Linked DNA regions of Xenopus tropicalis. The protein of the gene in region 1 purifies or fractionates together with the protein of each later gene. This does not show direct contact. Links are inferred from orthologs where the notes say so. Each region holds a gene or a part of one and is shown in the gene's direction. Other genes may lie near its edges.

Evidence for each region. Proteins that work in one complex are often made in the same cells at the same time.
Region 2: the proteins of myo6 (region 1) and lrch3 purify together in Homo sapiens (co-immunoprecipitation; 3 studies listed by BioGRID and IntAct, with this or other methods). This does not show direct contact. The link is inferred for Xenopus tropicalis from reciprocal best matches to the Homo sapiens genes MYO6 and LRCH3.
Region 3: the proteins of myo6 (region 1) and arhgef12 purify together in Homo sapiens (affinity purification with mass spectrometry; 4 studies listed by BioGRID and IntAct, counting the BioPlex papers as one, with this or other methods). This does not show direct contact. The link is inferred for Xenopus tropicalis from reciprocal best matches to the Homo sapiens genes MYO6 and ARHGEF12.

What each region holds. Positions count from the first base shown.
Region 1 is NC_030681.2:90,542,337-90,548,265, reverse strand, and holds part of myo6 (unconventional myosin-VI), read left to right. Parts: intron 1-807; coding exon 808-1,016; intron 1,017-1,123; coding exon 1,124-1,202; intron 1,203-2,079; coding exon 2,080-2,237; intron 2,238-5,929. UniProt on the Homo sapiens protein: Myosins are actin-based motor molecules with ATPase activity. Unconventional myosins serve in intracellular movements. Myosin 6 is a reverse-direction motor protein that moves towards the minus-end of actin filaments.
Region 2 is NC_030681.2:100,434,503-100,441,178, forward strand, and holds the start of lrch3 (DISP complex protein LRCH3), read left to right. Parts: upstream 1-2,846; 5' UTR 2,847-2,865; coding exon 2,866-3,187; intron 3,188-6,676. UniProt on the Homo sapiens protein: As part of the DISP complex, may regulate the association of septins with actin and thereby regulate the actin cytoskeleton.
Region 3 is NC_030683.2:78,917,454-78,924,087, reverse strand, and holds the start of arhgef12 (rho guanine nucleotide exchange factor 12), read left to right. Parts: upstream 1-2,804; 5' UTR 2,805-2,912; coding exon 2,913-2,944; intron 2,945-6,634. UniProt on the Homo sapiens protein: May play a role in the regulation of RhoA GTPase by guanine nucleotide-binding alpha-12 (GNA12) and alpha-13 (GNA13). Acts as guanine nucleotide exchange factor (GEF) for RhoA GTPase and may act as GTPase-activating protein (GAP) for GNA12 and GNA13.

The sequences.
Region 1 (5,929 bases):
ACATGCTAAACTGCACAGATTTTTGTTCTCTTTGCACGTTAGTAAATATTTCCAGATATGCCTTTTTGGGTTTACTTAAAAATGAGCAGTGCCTGAGGCCAAAATAATAAGCATAATTTGTAAAGATAATAGCTAAATTGGATAGAACTATGAAATGTTATTAGCAGGTTTGTGTTTCAACTCGTTTGTGCCCTAAATCTCAGCACAGGAACTACTGCACTTTGGCAACATGAATTCTATACCTTAGTCCTCAGTGAGAAGTGTTCCTGTACTGAATTCCCACCAGCTGCAATTGGCTAAAGAATATCTCTTTTTTTGGATCAGCCTCCCCACAATTCTGCTGTCAGGGAGCTGCTTTCGCATTGATATTTATGCTAACATATTTAATTTTTGTTTTTATTAAATGGAACTTAACGGCCATGGCCTTGACTGGGTGTAGTCCAGAAAGAGGCGTCATAAAGTATGCATGGGTGCCCTACCACAGTTTTATAGGTGTCCCCAGATTGCTCTTTAAAAATATGGTAAACTTATTCTATACCCACTTAAAATCATCGAGCCATCCTCATTATTTTCTCTGCCCATTAAAAAGCAGCTGATGCCCACTAGCAAAGCCTACCACTTATCACATCAGTGATGCCATTTAAAGAACGCCACATTATTTATTAAAGTTACCCCGCAGTCCATATTTCCGCATCATAACCCCAACAGTGTGAACTGTGCTAGCTTACAAACGGCCTTGTCTACCTGCTGAAATGGCACAATCTTGTAAATCATTCATTCTTTTCATATTTTAAATTTTGTTTACAGAACACTATTATGACCCGGGAGCAGATAGAAAGAGAATATGATAATCTGGTCAAGAGTTCTGGTCAGCTCCTTAATTCTCTGCAAAAGAGAAAGAAAGAAGAAGAAGAGGCTGAACGTCTGCACAAAATTCAGGAGGAAATGGAAAGGGAGAGGAAAAGGCGTGAAGCTGAAGAGGAGCTTCGCAGGAAAGAAGAAAATGAGAGGCGTCTGTGAGTAACCCCATACAGCACCTTAGTGCTTTTAGCATTGCAGTTCTGTTTATGTTCTTTGATCGGAGCTAAAGCCTGACGCGACATGTTTATTTCTTCTTATGCAGAAAGGCCGAGATAGAAGCAAAAAGAAAACAAGAAGAAGAAGAGAGGAAAAAAAGGGAAGAAGAAGAAAAGCGAATTCAGGTTAGTTTGCAATAAACATCCAATCAAGTGTAATCATCAAACAAAGATATCTAAGGAATAAAAGACTAGGGATTGTATGGTAAAAATAAGGACTGGTGTTGAGACTGAATTTTAAATTACTAATGGGGTAGACCTTCCGATTTGTTTAAAATGTCTGTGGCCTTCCTGCTAGTCAGAGCTTTCTGGATAATGGATTTCCAGATAACTCATCTTATACTCAAATTATTGCTATTATTGTTCATTAAATTTAACAATTGAAAATTGCATTTATTTTGGAAAGCCAGACAGGTGTGTTATGGCCACCCAGGAGACAGTTCCTTGTTAAAAAGGATCAGCATAGGAATCGGCAACTTCACCGGTTAATTAACTTTTAACTCAAAACTAGACTTTAATACAGAAAAAAACTATAATCTTTCTAAAATAAAAGTAACTGTAACAGTAACTGGTTTTGTAAGGCTGATACCAGGCAAAATTTGTTTCAGCAGCCTCTACACCATTTCCCAGGTGACAGAGAAGGATGACTTGGGTGTAACAGCTTTCCCATTAATTCAGTTTGACCCTTGCAGTAGCTGTGCTTCAGTTCAAGAAGTACATTTGAGATCTGTCAGTTTGAAATTATGTTCTGTGTCAAAAAAGCAGCTTAAACTTTCATTCAGATAAATGCTTTGACTGGAATGCCCTTGGTATATGTATAAGCTTATATATATATAACTTTTGCATCTATAAACCTTGCTCATAAAGCCAAGAGTAAATACAGATAGAAGTTCTGTGCTAGGAAACATTTGCTTTATGTGTATCCAGGGTATAAACAATTTGATTGGAAGAAAATAGTTTGAGGGCAGAATGTGATGGCTGCAATAAAATGGTCTGTTTGTAGGCTGAAGTGGAGATGCAACTGGCTCGGGACCGGGAAGAGGAATCTCAGCAGCAGGCTATACTTGAACAAGAGCGAAGGGATCGGGAGCTTGCTATGAGGATTGCACAGAGCGAGGCAGAGCTGATAAATGAGGATGGGCCAGACTCTGCATTGCGCAGGTAAATCACTCTCATTGCGGGCTACTGAGAAATATATATATGCCCATTAGAAAAAAAAATCTGTCCGCTAATGTTTCTTTTGTTTCTCAGCCAAAATCGGAGAAATAGGGCAGTGCAAAAAGGCTGCCTAATATAACTTAAAGGGGCGGTTCACCTTAAGTATATTATAGAACGGCTAATTCAAAGCAACTTTTCAAATGGTCTTCATTACTTATTTTTTTTTTTTTTATAGTTTTTCAATTATTTCTGACTCTTTCCAAATTTCAAATGGGGGTCACTGACCCCAGCAGCCAAAAAATGATTGCTCTGTGAGGCTAAAGTTTTATTGTTATTGTTACCTTTTATTACTTATTTTTCCTCTCCTATTCATATACCAGTCTCTCATTCAAACCCACTACCTGGTTGCTAAGATAATTTGAACCCTGGCAACCAGATAACTGCTGTAATTCCAAACCGGAGAGCTGCTGAACAAAAAGTGAAATAATTAAAAAAAACACAAATAATAAAAAATGAAGACCAAGGCACTCTATACATCATACTAAAATGTAACACAAAGGTGAACAACCCCTTTAACTATGTAAATCAGAGATATTCAAAATGGGTCACCTTAGTAAAGACAATGTAAAATGACAAATTTACTATTCATTTGAAAATAACAAATTACATTTTATAGTGGGGGGGTGGCTTTTTATCTGGGGTTACAGGTCTGAATTATTTCTTGCGGGGTGTACTGTTTTCTTAATTTAGTCCGTGAATTTCTGCCAGCTAGGTATGAAAACTCTAAACACTTAAGCACTAAATAATCATTGCAAAAGGGGAAAGCATGCCAGCTGAAGAGGCAAGATATCAGCATGGTGGGGAATTACCCGTAAGTAACCCACTGCAGGGAGCTGAAATAGATTGGATTCAAGTCATTTACACTTGCAGTGAAGTAGAAGTTCAGCTGCCATAAAGCAGCACAGTGTGGCCTTTACATCTCAGGCTCAGGGCTGCAGCAAGTAACATTTCTTTACTTTGTAAAAGTGACTTTGCTGAACTTTCTCTGAGATTTCAACTCTTGGATGTGGAATGAATTTATTCACATTATACAGAGCTTCTAGTCATTTTGCTGTGAATGTATTAACCTTACAGCATAAACTAGTCTAGATGTCCCTGTGCAACACAATGCTGCTTTAATCCCTACTTTCTTTAGCCCTGAAAAAGGGCATAAAATGCATTTTGATGCCTTCCAGTACCAAAGGGATTAAATTAAGAGGTTTTCAGTTTCCAGATTCTGTGGTTTCCTTTAGTTATATTAGCGTTTTGTTATTTTGCACTAGAAAAATATGCATTTCTTCAAGCTTCTATGGTTTCCTTTCCCCCTTTCCCCAGTCCCCGTATTTGAGTCTTTTCCGACATTGCATCTCTAGGTATATGATCTGTATAGTGTACACTGCAGAAATACAAATCCAGCCGTTTCCTTGTTTACCTACTAAGATCAAGAGTAAAACTTGATTCAAGCAATACGCCGCCTCTACAACTCCCATCATCCCCTGTGGGTTATGATACTGGCTTTTGTGTTCTGCAGTGTCAGTGCTGTGTATACATATTGCTCTGTAAGGCATTTATGTAGCCAATCTTCTAAAACATTCATCTAATTGCAGTTTTCTTTTTTTGCCGTACAGATTAATTAAGGATACAAATAATGTACTTAAAAGGTTGTGATATAACAAACTGAGCAAACATTTGATCGTTTAAAGTAATAGAGGGCAATAAAATACAATCCAGAACAAATGTGTCTAAATATGCAATGTAAATTAGAAATATGTTGACTGGTGGCCCGTTAAAACCTCTGTGCTTAATTAGCCTAACATTCTCATTAGTGAAGAAAACAGGTTTGTTAATCTAACTTTGTAAATATTTTGAAGACAGTCCCTGCGCAGCTCCTGGCATTGTGAAACATTGTGTAGATCAGTGTTTTCTAACATAACTTGAGTGGTCCCCGAAGATGGCAGTTTACTAAAAGCATTTCATGTGAAGAAATCATCACTTCCCAGAGGATACCAGAGCAAAATAAAATGCATGTTCTGTAATTGCTCTGTCTTAACACAAAGCCATCACTGCATTCCACATTCTTTTTACTCTATCAATTTGTTTATAATGTTCCTGTTTAATATGCAGATTTGGGTATTTTCCACATGAACAGTTTGGAATGAATTTCCTCTCATAGAGTGTCACAAAATGCATCTGGTCCACACAATTCATTTTTTTGTTTTCTTTAGCTATACAACTACTGGTGTTCTCCCTCAATGGGTCTCCATTGGCTCCTTTTATTATCCGATTGTTGGCCTGGAAGCCAACATTATAGGGGCCTACTGAGACCTGCTGAGGGAAAACCACATCAACACGCTGATGCAGTTATAAATCTATGGCATTTTCTAGCATGCCCAATAGAGCAGAGTGGTCAGGATGCTTGAAGCCCCCCAAACACTGACTGATAAGTCACAAAGGGCTGTTGCATGGCCACCTTTAATTGTGGAATAGCTTCAAATTAATGCCACAGGAGGATATTTAGTATATGGGCACTTCAGACAAATAATATATTGTTTAGTCATAAATCACTAACATCACCACCAAATTTTCATTTGTATCCACTTATAATTAGTACTGGGCAGTTTTCGCATGTCTGTAAGGGATCTGTTATCAGGAATCCTTTATTCAAAATACGCCAATAGCATTTTCCAGTTTTTCAACAAGTAATTTTTCATTCTTGACTCCTTAGCTCTTTCTCTATAGTTAAAATATAATACTTTATACTTAATGATAACTGAACTACCACAAATCTGTTTCATTTCTAAAGTTTCAGTATTTTAAAGTAGCTTTAAGGCTGATGATCTGCATAATGGAAAGACCTCATATCCAGAAAACTGCAGATCCCAAACATCCCAGATACAAGATCTTTTACTAATTATATGCAGTTTACCTACACTTTCTTGCTTTTAAACTATTTATTTGTATTCTTTGCCTTTCTAACCTTTCTTGTCTCAAATCACTGTGACCTAAATGGCCTAGAATCATAGCAAAATATCAGTCATATAGCAAGACACTTGCTTCCCTATAGTTTTTATTTTATTTTATTTTTAAAAATCAGTCATGAAAGAGGCGTGCCCTAATTTATAATAAAAGTCATAACATTTGCTGGGTGCAGTAACACATAGTAACCAGTAACATGTTTGAAACAGGTGACCTGTTAATTCTAGTTTTGGTTGCTATGGGTGATTAGACCAGTAGCAAACTTTCATTACATTACTCCAAATAAGTGGATATACTGTATGCCAGTTGTAGTGAGCAATTACTCCTGCAGAGCTGTCAACCCGACTCTTGCCGGCGGTCCCCCTGCCCGACCGCTCCTGCCCTGACGCATTAAATTTACACGCTCGGGGGAGGACGTCAGGTGGGGGGCCTTGCGAGGGGGGCATCAAGCACCTGCAGGGCCCCTGGAGTGGGAGCCCTGCAGTCCGACCCTGTACCCTTTCACGATTTTGTCGGGAGTTAGCTGTTTTTGGCCCCTTCCCCCCCAGTATCCAGCCTCCATACCAAATTTCCCCAGTTTTACAGCACAGGGGGCATTTAGAGGCTTTAAGCATGCATGCACAGTGATGTCACTTTTGCCTTTGTGGGTTTGTATATCACATTTGTCCCCTGGCAGGTTG
Region 2 (6,676 bases), about 9.9 Mb from region 1:
TTCCACCGGCGCCGCTGATGACGTCATCACATCGCGCTCTCACCTGCCGAACACAGAGGAGTGCAGCAGCCGCCGGTTACAATACACAGGAGGCACAATCATTTGATAGACGACCTGGTAACAGCCCTGATTCCCACAGGGAAAGCGTAAGGGTAAGTCCACCACCACGCAGGGGGCACAAACATCTGTAAGGCGCCCTGGTCATACGCATTTCTGGAGGCCAGTCATCTGAAAGGCGCCCAGGTATATATAAAAAAAAAAAAAACATGGTGTAATCCCTTGGGTAGGAAAAAAACACTGAGGGCTAGAGGGAAGCAGAGGGACTTATAGGAGATGAGGGGGTGGAGTAATTAATTGGGGGGTGTGGTGTTTTCCTACCAGGTGGAAGTCATCTCTCTAGTAAGTGCTGCCAAGGGACGTGAGGGAAATATGGCCATAATGAATACCTTCAAATTTTGTCGAAGTGTTTATTAAGCTTTCTGAATTCTTAAAATCTGGTCTCTTTCTAGTTGTCAGGGGCCACATACAAAAAAAATCCTATTTGAGGCTACAATTTATTATAGCCAATGTCATCAGCTTGTGATCCCACAAGACTGCAATAAAATCTCAGAAGGGTTTATGTAATAATAGATTTGGTGCTGCATGTTATGCTCCCCAAAAAGGCATAGTAGTTGAGAGCTATATAATGTTATTTTCTTTTAAGGGGGGGCTTTTGCACAGCCTTGGAACACTTACTTAGAAGTTTTCACACCCATACACACCAAATTGTTGTGACTAGCGTAAATGATTATCGCAATGCGGAATTCCTTTTTAAAGGAGAAGGAAAGGCAAAGTCACTTAGGGGTGCCAAAATGTTAGGCATTTTGCATTGTGTGTCTGTGTGTGCCACACTAAGCATGGACAACAGAAAGAGGAGAAGAGAACTGTGGGAAAATATCAACAATCTCAAGGTAACAAGTCCATCTCCAGAGATCTATATTTGCCTTTGTCCACAGTGCACAACATTATCAAGAAGTTTGCAACCCATGGCATTGTAATGGATGGAAGAGAAAAATTGATGAAAGGTTGCAACGCAGGATAGTCCGGATGGTGGATAAGCAGCCCCAAACAAGTTCCAAAGAATTTCAAGCTGTACTGCAGGCTCAGGGAGCATCAGTGTCAGCGCAAACTATCCCTCTGCATTTAAATGAAATGAAACGCTAAGGCAGGAGAGCCAGGAGGACCCCACTGCTGACACAGAGACATAAAAAAGCAAGACTACAGTTTGCCAAAATGTACTTGAGTAAGCCGCAATCCTTCTGGGAAAACGTCTTGTGGACAGATGAGACCAAGATAGAGCTTTTTGGTAAAGCACATCATTCTACTGTTTACTGAAAACGGAATGAGGCCTACAAAGAAAAGAACACAGTACCTACAGTGAAATATGGTGGAGGTTCAATGATGTTTTGGGGGTGTTTTGCTGCCTCTGGCACTGGGTGCCTTGAATGTGTGCAAGGCATCATGAAATCTAAGGATTACCAAAGGATTTTGGGTCGCACTGTACAGCCCAGTGTCAGAAAGCTGGGTTTGGGTCCGAGATCTTGGGACAATGACCCCAAACATACGTCAAAAAGCACCCAGAAATGGATGGCAACAAAGCACTGGAGAGTTCTGAAGTGGCCAGCAATGAGTCCAGATATAAATCCCATTGAACATTTGTGGAGAGATCTTAAAATTGCAGTTGGGAAAAGGCGCTCTTCCAATAAGAGAGACCTGGAGCAGTTTGCAAAGAGTGGCCCAAAATTCCCGGTGAGAGGTGTAAGAAGCTTATTGATGGTTATGGGAAGCAACTGATTTCAGTTATTTTTTCCAAAGGGTGTGCAACCAAATATTAAGTTAAGGGTGCCAATAATTTAGTCCAGCCCATTTTTGCAGTTTTGTGTGACATTATGTCCAATTTGCTTTTTTTCCTCTCTTTTTTTTGTTCTGTTCCAATACACACAAAGGGAATAAACATGTGTATAGCAAAACACATGTTACTGCAATACTTTTCTGTGAGAAATACTTGATTTTCTGGAAAAATTTCTGGGGTGCCAACAATTTGGGCCATGGCTGTATATCCTGACATGAAAAGAACAAGCTTGTAGAACCAATGTCAAATGTTTTATGTTACAAATGCATAAATAAACACCTTTGAAAAAAGTTCCAGTATTTGCCACATCCCAACTGGCAGCAATTAAAATTCATATGCATATTAGCACTTTTTCATTTGGTCTCTATATGCCACATACAGGGTCAGAATGACCTATGGGACACCAGGAAAAATCCCAGTGGGCCCCACCACCCCAGTGTGCAGTTGGCCAGATTACCATTGGCCAGTATATGTGGTAGTGCGGAGATGGGCCCTGGGTGCCCCAGTCTGGCACTGTACACATACTTCGGGTTGAACTATTTAGAAGACCCCAGCCATTTATACTTAAAAATGATTTCTCCTGGGGAGATAACGTGGGAGATAAAATTGACATTTGCGTCCATATTCAAAATGTTATCCAAACTGTTACATTTTGGTAAACTGGCATAGAACTAATATTTTCTTCAAAAATAATTGTTTATATATCTAGGAGGATATTACGTGATACCCCTCAAGGTCTATTAAGCGTGTGCTTACCCTACGAACGTGAACAGAAAATGTACTTTCATTATCAGTCGCAAAAAGAGGAATTCAGTTACACTAATAAAGTAGTGGCAAATAGGAAAGATACTATTAAACGAATTCTAATTGTCTTCTGGCTGTTCTACGGAAATTCCTTTTTTGGTCCCCTCAACGCGCATACGCAGCTCTGAGGAGCGGTCTCCCCATCTCTCCCTCCCCCTCTACGGGAGCGCATGCGCCTTAAGCACCAGTCCCGCCCATGTGTCCCGCTTCCTGTCAGTCTGGCAGCGCAAGCGCAAATTGGAGTCGGTGTTATGGCGGCCGCTGTGTTGGCCGAGGGCTCGGTAGTGTCTGGTTATTCTGGGATTAATCACAACAGCCATGGAGCAGCGTCGGGGGCCGGAGTGGGCGCAGGGCCGGCTGCATGGAACCGTTCTTTGGAGAGGGCATTGGAGGAAGCGTCGGTGACCGGGGTCCTTAACCTGAGTGGCAGGAAACTGAGAGAGTTTCCGCGGAGTGCAGTCCAGCACGACCTCAGCGACACCACCCAAGCCGGTGAGGGATAAAGTATACATTTCTTTGCCTTATTGATAGTCTGGATGTCCGGCCATTGCCACTTCAGTTTTTGTTGGACTACACCTCCCAGAATCCCCTGACAACCAAAGTCTAGCCCAAAAACAGCCGGAGAGCCTCTACATCATGTAACCTGGAGAATTGCATAAAATAACGCAATACGTTTACTGTAGAAACAAACTCGAGTAGGGGATGTGTTACTGTGTGACAGGCAGCGCGGGCTGGGGGGGGGGGAGGCGATTCCAGCCATTGAGTTACATTTGTGTGTGACGGTGGGGTTGCTTGTGCCACAGGCAATGGGACCTGGTTAGAGGAGCTACAAGAGAGAGAGGGGTGAACTTGGCAGAGAGGAATATGGCAGGTAGGGAGTGCCTGGGCCCGTCTGTCTCTGTGACAGGTGTCTGGCTCTGGGGACTGGCTTGGGAATACATAACCCCACGGATAAAGGTTTGTGGTTTTATCAGTTATAATGATATAGCTCAGGAGTTATGTCGTACATAGAAAGCCATATACTGTGTAATGTTACCAGTGGGATGTGCAAAATACCTCATGAGCATGTTCTAACAAGCATGTTTCAGTAGAGAATGCAGGTCTATGTGACTCCATACATAACCATAAAGGTTTAGACGCAACGTTTTAGTAAAAAGAATGTTGAACTGTGCTATTCTGCTCAGTGTTGGCTGTCTTAATGGCAGGGGTACACGAGGAGATTAGTCGCCCTGCCACAAATCTCCCCGCAATGCCATCCCTCCTGCTAGAAAGTAAATTGCAGGTGTCGCTGCAGTGTCTCACAGTCGTAGCGACGCATATGCCATCCCACCGGCGATTTACATTCTAGTCGGAGGCATGGCATTGTGGGGCGACTAATCTCCCCGTGTACCTCTGCCCTATGGTCCCCTAAGTGGCTGGTAGTACCTATAGCTGAAATAATGCACAGAGTTTTTTCCCATGTTATTAATAGAGCTGTGACACATTTCCACAGCATTTTACAGAGATTATACTTCATTCACACCAGTCCCTGCCCCAGAGGACCTTACAATCTTAGTTCCTTGTCACATTAAAGGTGGCCATACACGCACCGATATTATCGTACGAAACCTCGTTTCGTACGATAATCGGTGCGTGTATGGCATGTCAGCGAGCCGACCGATATCGCAGGAAGCTGCTGAAATCGGTCGGCTCGCCGATCGGCCAAGTTAGAAAATTTTGATCGGGCGCCATAGAAGGCGCCTGACCAAAATTCTCCCTTCAGAGCTGAATCGGCAGAAGGAGGTAGAAATCCTATTGTTTCTACCTCCTTACCTGCCGATTCAGCCCTGAATGGTGTGTGGCGGATCTGACGATGTTTCGTGCGACCGACGGTCGTACGAAACATCGTGAGATCGCCACGTGTATGGCCAGCTTTACACATACTGTGGTCAGTTAAGACAGAAGGCAATAACCTGCCTGTATGTATGTTTTTGGTGTATGAGAGGAAAGCCATGCAGATATACAAAGGAGCTTATATATATAAGTAATTAATATAATATAATAATATATAATAAGTAATTATATATTGAAGTAATTAATATAAATCATAATAACCAGGGTGAGTAGATTCAGTACTGTGCTTTAGGACCTCTCCAATGCTTCCATCCAATGAAGCCTTATATACTACAAATGTCACACCTGAAAAAGAGTTTTAGTGTTAAAATAAAACACATTAACTTTTGCAGTATATACTGCATTTGACCGTTCGTTCCAGACTAATTCTGGCTGGTATACAAATATAAATTTCTTTTGATGTTTTTGGCTCTTTTCGGATTTGTTCAAAATGTAACTCATTGTAAATCTACATATTTTTCCCTTTTAATAATGTCGCAACTGAACTAAAGTCTGTGGACTAAACAGTCTTAAGTTTTACCTTTTCATCTCCCAATGATAGAAAAATATAAATATATAGACACAGCGATTTATGCAGAAGATTCTATCTATGTGTTTTATTGTACAGTGGCAGGGTATTCTGATGAAGGGTCCTATGTCGGAAATATTTTTGTTTGCTTGTTTAATAAAAAATTACAGGAAAATTCACAAGTTGCAATTCTTTAGGAATTGAGTGGACTGTTACAAATGTTTTGGGTTGCAGTGCACCTGCAGCACCAGTACTAGTACCATTCTTCTCACTGATTATGTAAAGGAACAGTAACATCAAAAAATTAAATTGTTTTAAAGTAATTAAAATATAATGTGCTGTTGCTTTGCAAAAAAAAAAAAATGGTGTTTTTGCTACAGAAAAGCTACTATATAAATAAGCTGCTGTGTAGCTATGGGGGCAGCCATTCAAGCTGGAAAAAAGGAGAAAAGGCACAGGTTACATAGCAGATAACTAGTAGATAAGCCCCATATAATGGGGGTTTGTCTGTTATCGGCTAAGTAACCTGTGCCTTTTCTCCTTTGAATGGCTGCCCCCATGGCTACACAGCAGCTTACTTATATAAACTATAGTAGTCTTTCTGAGGCAAACACACCAGTTGTAGCAATGCAGGGCAACAGTACATTATATTGTAATTACTTTTATACACTTTCATTTTTTGGTGTTACTGTTCCTTTAAAGAAGAATTCAGTAATCCTTAGGTTTTGGTACAGAGAATAGAAACATTTTTATGGTTATGACACAATAATGATATTGCAAGATAAACACAGGTTTGTCTTCTTAATACAGCGAAGGCAAGAGATGATTACAATATGCTTGCAACAGATAGCTACAGTAGACTGGGGTGGTGTGTCTGGACAGTCTGTGGCAACATTGTAGTCGGTTGACCTCATTAGGAGTTGGATAGAGAAAGTGAAGGATTAGGCTGTACCTTTGGGTGCCTGAGATTGACTGGCAAACAGAATGCTGTAAAATATTTCAGTCATTGGCCATTTTAAAGGAGTAGTAATGCTTTTCAGAAATCTTTTAAAATCATGTATATATATATTTATTTATTTTGTACTATTTAGAAGATATAGCCATTAGGTTCCCCAATTGCATCTACCTCAGGATCAGTGATTCTTTTGAAAATCAAATGGTTAGTGGCTTTGCTCCCTACTGTTGCAGTGGAAGCCAGCAAAAGTGCTGGTTAGCAGTGACAACATTCTTACCTTATGTGCTGGAATCTGCTGCAGAGAGCAGGAAGCATGGCCACAGACTGCTTGGATTCCAAGAGGATCACAGATGGGGTAGCTATCCCTTCTCTAATGATAGTTGTTGCTATCTGTTCTGCATGCTATTTGCTATCTTCTTTTGTTACACAAGATGGTCCTTTTATATTATCAGTTAGTATGTGTTAGTGCACAACTTCGCTGCTGTACCGCCAGTATAAATTATGCCCACTTCCAATCTCTGGTTTCTTGTGGCTGCAGTCTGAGCATCCATTTCCTACAATTAATTTTTCTTATTGTCACGGGCAACTTGATCATTGTCATTGGGAAGCATTTCCTAGTAGATTG
Region 3 (6,634 bases), on another chromosome or scaffold:
GCTGCAAGCACTGAAATAAGTAGCAAACCCCAGGCATGTGGACACCACTGTGTGCGCTGATATGAGTAGCAGACCCCAGACCAGTGACCCCACCCTAGGGAATGAGTTCCCAAGCACTTTGTACCTCACTCTGCTCTAATTACACACCCCTCATGCACCCCTTTTCCAGTTAGTACCCCCGATTTTCAAAGGTTCTTGTGCCGACTCTCCTTGCACTTACCTGTACTTGTGCCAGGTGCCAATTGATAATAAGAACCCTGGAATTCTAAGGTCCACACAGTAATTGCTGATACCAATTGGCTTCAAGGATTTCAGGTGCTAACGCTGTTATTAAACTATATGCAAAACTATTGCCATTAACACCCAATTTGTTGCAATGTGCAAGGTATTAGTAGCAAGCACTTTGTCACTTTGTGCACAGTGCAACTCAGCATGTGGCTGCAATGACTCTGGAATTGTAGGAAAAAAATCTTCATTGTGGGAAAAACTGCACTTTCCATACTGCGTTGTATTCATAAATGATCCGTATTATATTTGTTATTTATCTATTCAATCTTTTTTTGGTCTCTGTTTTGCTGCCTAATGGAGGGGCCGCAGCCATCTTTTCTGTGGGCCTTGTACATGATAATTGTTTTGTTTCTTCTAAATCATTACAGCGGAAACCCTGTTTTAAAGAGGTGGCAGAAAAAATGGTGTAAAATCCAGGAAAATGTAAAATCAAGGGAAATATGTTAAAGCAGAAGAAGTTGTATAGATTAAGAGCAGTGTCATGAATGCCAACTGAGTACAGAACATCTAGGAAGAATGGGTGGTCAACTATGTCAGGCTGCCGAGAGGGAGTGATTAGTGCTTGTTTGTTTGACAAAAGGAAAGTACCAGTAAAAAGTGAAAGGTTAAATAGGTAAGTGCAAGGCTGAGTGTATCAGAAATAGGGTGGAGGGGAGAAGGTATGGGGTCCACGGAATATGTTTTGGGGTTAGAGCTAGAAGTTTGCTAACTTCATATCATGTTTCAGGGGTGAGAGTTTAAAGTGGAGGTGAGTGAACTGCAAGCTAATTTGAGACTGTCATCAAATGGTATGCTCTATCTAATAAAGTAAATTTTGTCCTTAAAAAAATGAGCAAGGTCTTAGGCAGTTACAGTAATGGGCGGAGGATGCAGAGGCGGGCACAGAAGGGAGTTAAAGGAGAAGGAAAGGTATAATCAGTGGGGGGTGCCAAAATGTTAGGCACCCCAGGGTGGTTCTCCCATTAGCAGAAATCTGCACCGGCCCAGGGTACCTGTGAGTGAAAAGCCGAACTTTAACAAAAAAAGCCGTCTTTGTCACTGTACAGGTATAGGACCCGTTATCCAGAATGCTCAGGACCAAGGGTATTCCAGAAAAGGGGTCTTTCCATAATTTGGATCCCCATACCTTGTCTACTAAAAAATCAATAAAATATTAATTAAACCCAATAGGATTGTATTGAACCCAATAAGGATTATTTATATCTTAGTACAAGGTACTGTTTTATTACTACAGAGAAAAAGGAGATCAGTTTTAGAATTCTGAATTATATGAATAAAATGAAGTCTATGGGAGACGGGCTTTCTATAATTCGGAGCTTTCTGGATAACGGGATCCCATACCTATATTGTACAGCTCCGGGATCACAAAGAAAAATGAAAGGAGCATACAGCTAAACGGAGCCAGTGCAGTTTTCTGCTGACAGGGGCACTAGCTGATCAACAGAAGCAAATTCAGTGTTGGGGTTCTGCCCACACCCACTATGGCAAAAACAAAGTGCCTCTCCCAGCTCCCTGGCACAAGCATAAGTTCTAAGACCAGACAAAAACAATAGATTATTCAGCTGTGGCCAGTTTTGGGAGCTGAGGCTCTGCTGGCAGAAGGTATTGCTGGCAAACACCAGGGAAAATAGTTTTATTTTTTCCTGACATAAGTAAGAACTGCCAGCCGAACAGAAACACGAATTGTCAGTACGAACTCGCACAATGCTGTATCGAGCAAAGAGTCCCGCGTATAATTAAAAAGTTATAATTGTGGAAAACTAAATTCCTCCGTCGCTACTCGTCACTGGCCCCCCCAGTTACGTGCTGCGTCACCGCGCTTCCATACGTATAGTTGTGACGCCCCGTCTCGCGAGATGAGATTCGTGACGTTGGGATTAGCTGTCAGGCAGGAGCCGAGGAGCAGGACAGTAATGGCGCTGCGAAACGTTTAGCAGCGATACGGGACTGCAGGTTTTGTTAAGAAAATCGGGACTGTCCCGCGAAAGGCGGGACCTTTGGTCGGTATGAGTATAGTACTTATTCTGAAGGCGGTGCGACCCCCTGTAGTTGTCATTTAAGTGTTAGGCTAAGAAAATGCTCAACCCTACCTCATTTGTGATTCATTCGGAATTAAAAGGCAATAATTTTGACGATTAGGTGCTTTTGCTTAGTTCTTTAGTTATAGTACGTAACAATATATACCTATGCATGACTGAGGTCACTTCAGCATTCTTCAGTATTCTACATTGAAATCATCAGCCGCGTTGACCGCTTCAGACATACCTCTCCTTATCTCCAAGTACTGTACTTTTGTCACCACTTTTTTGGGGTTGGTTTCGATACTAATGAAAGCTGCACCGCTGCTCCAGAGTTGCAAACTTCCATATCTGGGTGAAAACGTGTTGGCCGTCAGTACAACACACTGAGAGACGCTGGCAAATCATGCTGTAGATCTTCATCATCTTACCGGTGCCTAGTGTTCTTTATGGCAACTTGGAATCCTCAACAGCCCAACTTACTCTTTTTCAGACTCTATTTTAAGGCAGGTGTACACTTTCCAAAATTGAAGAATTAATGACATTTAAAATAAGATGTAAGTTTGCTTGGTGAAGTAAAAAATAATACCATCCCAGAGGGACCCAATGAGTGGAACACAGTCTGCAGCTTCCGACAGGTGAGTTGCACATGGTTATGTTTAACAGATACTTTTTTTTTTAAAGAACATATTAAAATATATATATATATATATATATATATATATATATATATATATATATATATATATATGTGTGTTCTAAATTTGAAACATGAAATTGTTAGCATCTTTCATATATATGTATATAAAAGATGCTTAAAATTTGTTCTTTCTGTACTGTTCCCATTTCATACTAAGGAGTCTTTGCTATGGTAATTATGTCATGGTTTATTTGCCATTTTTTTCATTAATCTGTATTTCGCATGCTGAGATTTGTAACATTTAGGGTTCTGGCACACGGGGAGATTAGTCGCCCGCGAATAGGGAGATTTGTCGCGGGCGAGTTGCCATCAGTTGCCATCCCACCGGCGACAATGTAAGTCGCCGGTGGGATGGCACACGTGGCAGCGCGATTTTGGAAAATCGCCAAAAATGCCTCGCAAGGCAACTTTGCCGATTTGCCGAAATCTTGTGCCATCCCACGGGCGACTTACATTTTCGCCGGTGGGATGGCAATTCGGGGAGATTAGTCTCGGGTGACTAATCTCCCCGTGTGCCAGAACCCTTAGGGTGAAGACGCAGCTACTTGTTGTGGCTACTAAAAAGGCAACGCTGATCATTTACTGATAATTGTCTCTACGTGTGTTTTAGCAGAGGCAATACTCAGTATTGTCTATGGCAGGGTATTTTCTGGAGTTTAGTAGCCTTGAAAAACTTGCTGCTCTAGTAGCCCACTGTGTCTTCACCCCTACATTTCTAGCTTCCGTACACAGGAAATAACTAGTTATATCCTTTGGTGAAAGTGCTAGCAGTAGCGCATTGTTTAAAGGAAGGCCAATTTGGTACTGTAAACAGAACATCATGCTTTTATGTTGTCCCAAATTTTCCAAACCTTGACTATTGGGCCTCATGCATGCTTGATGATGCAAGGGAGCAAATTAGAACTTACCCATTTACAGTACAGGTACTGTACTATTACCTGGAATGCGTGGGGCCTGTGGTTTTCTGTATAAGGGGTCATTTTATAATTTAAATCGCCATGCATTGTCTCCAAAAAAAATAATTTAAACATTAAATAAACCCAATATGATTGTTTTCCACCAAAGCATTCATGCAGCAAGACTAAGTACATGGTACTGTTTTATTATTACAGAGAAATAGGACATTACTTTTAAAAATTAAAATTATTTGCTTAAAATGGCTTCTATGGGAGATGGCCATCCCTTGGAGATTTTTGCATAATTGGATTTTGGATAATGCATCCCAAACCTGTGGTCGCATTCTACACCTTAAAAAAACTTGCTAAGACCAAACACACATATGCATAGACCTGTCTGTTTCATTTCAGGGTTTTGGGCGAGTGAAAAACACATTCATAGCAAAGCATAGGGATAATTAATAAAACTGTATTATTGTTCTTTGGAATGATAATACATGCAAACCAAAATGCAGTTAACTCTTGTAGGCTTAATATTACTGTCAAAACAATTACACTTCTATAGTTCAGCTATGAAACAATCATCTTTAAACTTAAATGACCTTCAGGCTGAACCTGAAGGTTCCACTGAGCGTGGTGACAAAAATCAAAATATGGCCAACTTTTTTTCTGTGATCTTGGGTTTTTCCCCCCTCTGGGTTGAGTTCTCGTTTTGTCGTGGAAAAAAAAAGAGTTGCATGTCATCACATTGTTCAATTCATTTTCAATGAGGCTGAAAATCTTGAATGTATTAATAAATTGGAAAAATAAAATAATAAGTTTTTAAGTTTTACTTGTGATTTTGTTTGTTTTTTTTTTTTAAATGGGAACTCCACCTAAACACATCTTAACCATTTTTAAAAGTAAACATTGTGGGTTATAAAGTTCCTGCATACTGTCTGTAAACTGCGGAGAAGTTGTTACCAATTGAAATATCAATGTTTTACTCCCTCCTCCCCAAATTGTATTTATTCATACTTTTTGAAGAAACAGATTACAGTGATATATTAGGGCTTTTGTTGTTGTGTGGTGCTCTTTAACAAATTGTGGTTCTGATGCAGGAGTTCCCCTTTAAAAAACCCAGACCAAGGTTTCCGAAAATACTTGAGCCCATTTTTCTCCTTGCCTTGAAGAGATAATGACATCAGAAATTAAACTTTTTTTACAACTATATCTTTGCATGGTGTTTATAATTTAAGGATAACAGTATTTGCCAGATGCTTTTATATTACCTCTGTGATCCCCTATGTTCCTCTTTGAGGGGGATGCCATATTGGTGGAGCAGTTGTCCATTAGCACTAATTGACAGGTTGAGTAGGGACAGTCAGGTCAGCAAAACAGTCAGGTTTAGGAACTTCAAGTAACAATCATGACCTATAGGTAACTTTTAATGTAATATTTTGACGAGAAGTTTTTTTTTTTGTGTTATTTTCATATATTTTTTTTTTTCAATCAAGTAAAAACTTAAAAATTACAGAAAACCCCACATAACAAGCATTTTCAATTATAGATCTGATACCTGTACTTCATATCTTTCCCTTTCAATGACAATATATGTTCATTACTGTATTCACAGATTTAGTGGCAAATTTATCAAAATGTGAGTTTAGAGTTTTAAAACCCACCCATGGTCTATTTATTGCTGTGGGAGTATGAGGTATTTTATATAAGAAGTATTTTTATCAAATGATGAGTTCGACTTTGCCAAAACAACAAATCTTTAAATGTATGTTAAGCTTTACTTAAATAATGCAGCTCTGTTGGTCGATGTTAGTTGATGGTGTTATTTTTTTTGTATTAAGAATTCTTTAGCACAGGGAAGTAACATGACAGCATTCACTCATGAATAAAATTTGCTGCACTTTCATATACTTTTGTGTGTTTAAGGCACAATGGTTAATGTAGCAATATTGAAATGTATGCAGCACAATACTTTCCAGTAAAAGATACTGAAATATTCTTAGCAGTATAGGCTAGTGTATATTACATAATTTGGCAGTAAAGAATGTATTTTTTACCATGTTCTTTGCATTTTTTGGAAAGAATTCTTACATAGTAGCTAATAATTTATGTTTGTTACTGTTTCCTAGTGAGATTGATGTATAACAATCCAACAATCTAAATAAAAAAAAGTCACACTGGTGCATTGTTCAGTAAAGAATTTCCTTTTCTCAGAATGGTGGCAGTATAATTCAAACCTATTAAAATGTAAGGTATCTGTTGCAAAACAAGCATGTGTCACTTTTTTAGGAATGTTGGAATTGTGTTTTTGTCCAACATCTTGTATTCAGTATCCACCATAAAGCTTTCCATACCTGTACCGGCGATTCAGTTAAATCTAATCTGCCGATATACCAGATCTCCAAGTGAATGGCACATGTGAGGAGATGAAGAGCAGCTACTTTTATTTCCTACTTGTCTGGCACAAAAGAAGGGCAGCAATAAAAGATGTATGTCTCTTTATAACGATTCAGCCTAAAGGTTGGTTATTCAAACCATAACTTTACCCCTTTTATTTTTTAATGTATCTTTGGGAACTGCAGTAAAATTGTTTTTAGATATATTACACTCTGAAAAGTACAAATGTTTGTTTCAGACTGCACTGGGTAGGTATTTTTTGGTAGATGTGCTTAGGGATGAAATAGTCCTGACAAATGCTTTATAATGCATTGTTACCAGGAGCTGATAGTAGA